Linked DNA regions of Danio rerio. The protein of the gene in region 1 interacts with the protein of each later gene in a pairwise test. Links are inferred from orthologs where the notes say so. Each region holds a gene or a part of one and is shown on either strand. Other genes may lie near its edges.

Region 1 (2,786 bases):
CATCCATTTTCAGATCTCTCCAGAGATGTTCAATAGGATTTAGGTTTGGGCTCTAGCTGGGCCACTGAAGTACATTCACAGAGTTGTTGTGAAGCTACTCCATTGATATTTTGCTGATGTGCTTTGGATCCTTGTCCTGCTGAAAGATGAACCGTCGCCCCAGTCTGAGGTCAAGAGCACTCTGAAGCAGGTTTTCATTCAGGATGTCTCTGTACATTGCTGCATTCATCTTTCCCTCTATCCTGACTAGTCTTCCAGTATCTGCTGCTGAAAAACATCCCCACCGCATGATGCTGCCACTATTATGCTTCACTGTAGGGATCGTTTTAGGAAATAAATGAACTTAATCTATTTTGGAATAAGGTTGTAAGGGCTATGAATACTTCTTGGATGCACGATATATTTCCAATCAAAAATGTGAAGTTAGATATATTTACAGTGAGACATTTACAAAACATTTTCATGGAACATGATCTTTAATTATATCCTTATGTTTTTTACAGTATATTTTGGGCTATTTCCAAAAAAGTAATCCAGGGTCACGTATACCTGCATCCCTTAACTTTCGAGGTGGAGTTTTAGCACTTATAAACTATGTATAGGCTTTTATGACTCAACCAACACTGTGTGAAACCTCTTTTACAGATATACGGTTTGGGCTGTCAGGTAACAGATGTAGTTGTTTTTAAATAAAAATTCACAAAGAAAAAGGGTGCTTTGTGTGCTGTTTTACTTTTTAAAAAAGACTAGTCTGTTCACTGTTTGAACACTGGTTTATATGCAAACAATAAATAAACCCTGAAAGCTCACATTTCACACACATTTCTCACACATTTCAGCAATTCTCAGAAATAAGAAAACTCTCTAGTCAAGGAGTGTTTGCAGAAAACCACTGTGACGGTGTATTAGATCACTGTTGGACGTTCTCATTTTCTGAACTGGAGATATAGTCACCTTGCCAACCACTTTGAGACTCAGCAACTCACATTAAAGACACAGCAGAGCTTGTGTGCTGTTCGAGGAATATTGCCTTATTCTTTTCCAGCCCACAGATTTCCCTGGGTGAAAAAGGATGAGGTCAAACATCCTTGACAGCCTATGCCGCATTCATTAGATCAGCCTGCTGGTCACTGTTGTTACGAGTTAGACAGACTAGATGTCACCTCAGATGCAGATGCAACCACTGCACAGAACGGAGGCCTTGTTTCAACGCGGCTTGCTTTACGTTTCTCACTCACCTCTGGCGACCTAGAAAAAGACCATAAAGCATTGAATGCCTCATTTATAAATAATATTCGTTTCCACTAGCACACTATGTTCAGGTGAAATGTCAGTGTGTATTGCACTGGAAGCACATTTTTAGACTTCTTGCTAGTGTAAATGTCTAGCAAAGGAAACTCACTGAGACAGCATGTCCACGCTTCTTTGAGTGGCTTTGGTTTTCTTGTGCTGAGGACCATACAGCAGACTCTGAATTTCAAAACACTGAAAAACAAAAAGGATACGAGTGGTTGACAAAACATCTGGGAGGCCATGATGTCACATAGTGTGCACCATCTGAAAGTATGTTAAATATACACTGCCGGATTTATAAAGACACTTTGGATTTAAGCAAATACTTAAATACCCCAAAATGACTGTTTACTCAGCCTCCAACTTTTAGAAGTTTCTGTGTCCTTTTTAACACCAAAGAAGATGTATTTTGCAGAATGTTGGAAACTAGAAGCATTGACTTTAATACAGTAGGGAAAATAATCCTATAGAAGTCGATGGCTTCTGGTTTCCAAAATTTAAAAGATACATAAACAGGTTTGGAAATAGTGGAGGATGAGTAAATGATGACATTTTTTTTTGGGGGGGGGGCATGTTTATTTTTCTGGCTTAAGTTCAACAATGGGCTGCACAGTGGCGCAGTGGGTAGCAGTTTCATCTCACAGCAAGAAGGTTGCTGGTTCAAGCCTCGGCTGAGTCAATTAATGTTTTTGTGTGGAGTTTGCATGTTCTCCCCATGTTCATGTGGGTTTCCTCCGGGTGCTCCAGTTTCCCCACAGGTCAAAAAATTAATAAATAAAAAACTCATAGGGCATGTGTTATATGGGTAAGTTAAATTGTCCGTAGTGTATGTGTGTGAATGAGTGTGTATGGATGTTTCCGCTGCATAAAACGTATGCTGGATAAGTTGGCGGTTCATTCCGCTGTGGTGACCCCAGATTAATAGAGACTAAGCCGAAAAGAAAATGAATAAATGAAAGTTTTACAGTTCTTTTAACGCTTTTTTCAATTGTTTTAATGTTTAACTGACGCAGAGTGTAGCATTTTATTTCTTGAACAACCATGCTGGAAGTAGTATCCCATGACTATATTCTATGACTATAAAACTTAAAGTAAACACAATTAAACACAGACTCCCTGACTAGTTTTAATAAAGATTTTTTTAAAAAGGATAATCACCATTTTAATGATGACATGAAAGGATTTTACACAACAAAGGGCTTCATGCAGTCAAAACTGCCTGCATTTGCGAAACTATAAAACATTTGGTTTAAATGCACGGTATGTATGGTAAACAGTATGTAAATGTCATTTTTGCCACTAAAGGGTTAATATTTATCAAAGAGTTTTTAGTGGAGAATGTGGAAAATGATTAGTCAATCTACAGAAATAAGGGTAGGAAGATTTAATAAATTATAGAATAGGGATTGTCTGTGCAGTAGTGGTTAGTAACAAAACGGGATACTCATTCAGATATATATGAAAGACACCAGTGATTAGTGTGATATCCAGTA
Region 2 (3,390 bases), on another chromosome or scaffold:
ATAAGTTGGCGGTTCAGTCCTCTGTGGCGACCTCTGATTAATAAATGGACCGAAAATAAAATGAATGAATGTATTTTGTGTGTTGTTTGCACCCGACTATAAATATAAATTCTGGTACTGCAAAGTTTTCCTCAAGCCTTTGCTGTAGCTCAGAATTATAAATTTGTCTGATTCTGATTGCTAATGAATAAGTGTAAATGTGAGCATCTGCTGTTTGCTCTCTGCAGCTCCTGTGGTTCTGGACCCGAACACGGCTCATCCAGATCTGCTGGTGTCTGCTGACCTGAGCAGTGTGAGATGGAGCTGGAGCAAACGGGCTCTCCCTGATAATGCGGAGCGATTCGACCACCACCCCTGTGTTCTGGCCTCAGAAGGCGTCCGCTCGGGCACTCTCAGCTGGGCAGTGGAGGTCAGACAGAGCTCAGACTGGACTCTGGGGGTCACCACAGAGCTCAACCAGAGGAAGGGCTGGGATTTCTTCAGCGCTGACGTCTGGAGCGTGTGCTATGATGAGTACAGCGTGTCCGAGCGGCCCGTGTTCGGGGTCCGGGTGAAGCAGCGGCTGGAGCGAGTGCGTGTGGATCTGGACTATGATGGAGGAACCATCAGCTTCTCTGATGCGGTCAATAACACACACATACACACCTTCAGCTCCAACTTCACACACACACTCATTCCGTTCTTCAGCTGTTACACCATATTCAATCTCAAGATCTTACCGTCGAATAGTCAACAACAGCTCAATACTAATGCAGAACTTACTCCTTAAAGAGACAGTACACACAAAAATGACAGCTTACTGAGTATTTACTCTCCCTCAAGTGCTTCCAAACCTGAAGTTTCTTTCTTCTGTTGAACACAAAGCAAGATATTTCGAGAAAGCTGAAACCATTGACTTCTATAGGAAAAGCAAAGACTATGGAAGCAATAGTTACAGGTTTTTGGCTTTCTTCAGAATATTTTCTTTTGTGTTCAACAGAAGAAAGAAACTCATAAAGGTTTGGAATGAGTAAAGTGTGAGTAAATGAGGACAGATTTTCAGTTTTTGGGTGAGATGTGCCTTTAAAGCAGGTATTCACCTCTTGAAGTTAATGTTGACCATCAGCTTTTGGGTTTCCAGCATTTTTCAAAATATGTCTATTAGTTTGTTCATCAGAACAGGTTTTGATCAAGTGGAGGGAGAATTTTCTGAACATTATCACATCTGTGTTGTTTGAAACTAGGGCTGGGATAATATATTGATTTATTGCGATTTGAGAAATGATTCTGAAATGTTCTGAAGGCATTGCAATTCTTTCTTAAATATATTCTGAGTTTAGTTTTTACCACCTGCTGGTAAAATGATCCTAGAGCACCGTCTGCTGGAAAAAACTATGCTAGAGCACCGTCTGCTGGTAATAACTAGCCTAGAGCACCGTCTACTAGTAAAAACGATCCCAGAGTACCGTCTGCTGGTAAAAACTAGCCAAGAACACCGTCTGCTGGTAAAAACAATCCTAGATGGCCATCTGCTGGTAATAACTAGCCTAGAGCACCATCTGCTGGTAAAAACTAGCTTAAAACGTCATTTGCTTGTAAAAACTAGCCTTAAACGCTGTCTGCTGGTAAAAAAAAAAAACTACCCTAGAGTACCGTCTGTTGGTAAAAACTAGCTACTGGTAAAAACTACCGGTAAAAACTAGCCTAGAGCACCATCTGCTGGTAAAAACAATCCAAGAGTGCTGTCTGCTGGTAAACACTAGCCTAGATCGCCATCTGCTGGTCAAAAAAATTGTTTAGAGTACTGTCTGCTGGTGAAAACTAGCCTAGAGCACCATGTACTGGAAAACACAACTAGCATATTGCACCATCTACTAGTAAAACTAGCCTAGAGCGCTGTCTACTGGTAAAACAATCCTAGAGTACCGTCTGCTGGTAAAAACTAGCCTACAACACTGATTGCTGGTAAAAACTAGCACATAGCACCCTCTACTGGTAAAAACAACTAGCATAAATCACCATCAACTATTTAAAACTAGCCTAGAGTGCCGTCTGCTGGTTTGAAACCTGCCTAGAGTGCCATCTACTGTTAAAAACTAGTATAGAGCACGTCTACTGGTAAAAAAAAAAAAAAAACTAGCCTGAAGCGCCATCTGCTGGTAAAAACTAGACTCAGAATTGTTTCTAGAGAGAGTCACGGTGTATTCAGGTATTTATCTTCCCAGGCCTATATAAATCACATTATATACTGAAGCATCATCGTTAATGACGTATTCAGCAATTTGAGATGCTGCTGTGAAGAGGAAAGTGTCTGAGGATTATTCCACTATATTTATCATTATTTTGTTACTGTTGTTCTTGATGTTCTCAGTGTCTGGTGTTTGATTTTTCACTCATTCCCTGTTCTGTTTATCATGTTTTCTCCTATTTCTGCACGTGCACACTTTATACACAACTGACACTTTTCTAGATGTTGATGAATCTGTTCTGCTTCAGGTGAAGATGATTAATAAGCTACGTTTGTTTAATTACCCCTAATCTTTAATCTCACTGATCCATTGACCAAAAATGTCAGATTTCCGTTGCTTTTGTTTTCATTCAGCTGATTTCTGTTTCAGATTTACTGTATATAAAGTGAAAACAATCCTTCACTTTCCTTCATTTCATGCTTCAGCGAGTCTGTGAGGCTTCAAGCGTTAAATAAAAGACGTCTGTGTTTGTAACAGTGTTCATTATAATAACTCATATAGGTTTTATTTGTTTCATAAGCATATCTGTTCATATTTCAGTGTAAATCTCTGCCTAAAGGCAGAGTCCGGGCTGATTTAGAGATTTGGAGCATTAGAAAACTCCAGCTATGAGGCCAAAAACAAAATAACTCTTCAACTCTTTTACACATGATCATTATTTTGCTCGTAACAGTTTATTTATGCTTGTAGACTTGTGTCTTGCCAAGCTGTGTTAGGTTTTTTCACGATCATAAAGACTTTATCAGTTCATTATTAATAATTAAAAAAAAGTCTTGTAAAAAATGCAAACTTAAAAGTAATGCTACTTTTCCATTTAATAAGTTGTTATTAATGTTTAATAATTCTACAAGCATGTCCTAATAGCACACGTACAACACAGAGATCTATTGATGACTGATCTATTTCCTCAGCTTTATGTTTAATAAAAGCAGCAGCCTCTTCTGTTGATCTCTGCAGTGCGCAGTGGTTTATACTGATTAAACTGATCACTGATCTGAGAAACTTATTATATACTTAAAACAATTAAACCCCAGAAAATGAAAAACATCACTGTGTGCTGAAAAAAACTTATTAAATATATGTTTAGAGTTGTAACATTAAATAAATAGACAAATAACATGACAGGCAGAAATTAATTATGACAGATTTTTTTACGAACATA

The links.
Region 2: the proteins of ttc23 (region 1) and trim35-4 interact in binary tests that used the Homo sapiens proteins (3 or more experiments, as listed by UniProt). The two-hybrid records come from large-scale screens. The link is inferred for Danio rerio from reciprocal best matches to the Homo sapiens genes TTC23 and TRIM10.

What each region holds. Positions count from the first base shown.
Region 1 is NC_133193.1:22,240,577-22,243,362, reverse strand, and holds the end of ttc23 (tetratricopeptide repeat protein 23), read right to left. Parts: intron 1,486-2,786; coding exon 1,403-1,485; intron 1,249-1,402; coding exon 1,137-1,248; 3' UTR 711-1,136; downstream 1-710. UniProt on the Homo sapiens protein: Participates positively in the ciliary Hedgehog (Hh) signaling.
Region 2 is NC_133178.1:701,542-704,931, reverse strand, and holds the end of trim35-4 (zinc-binding protein A33), read left to right. Parts: intron 1-227; coding exon 228-769; 3' UTR 770-2,702; downstream 2,703-3,390. UniProt on the Homo sapiens protein: E3 ligase that plays an essential role in the differentiation and survival of terminal erythroid cells. May directly bind to PTEN and promote its ubiquitination, resulting in its proteasomal degradation and activation of hypertrophic signaling.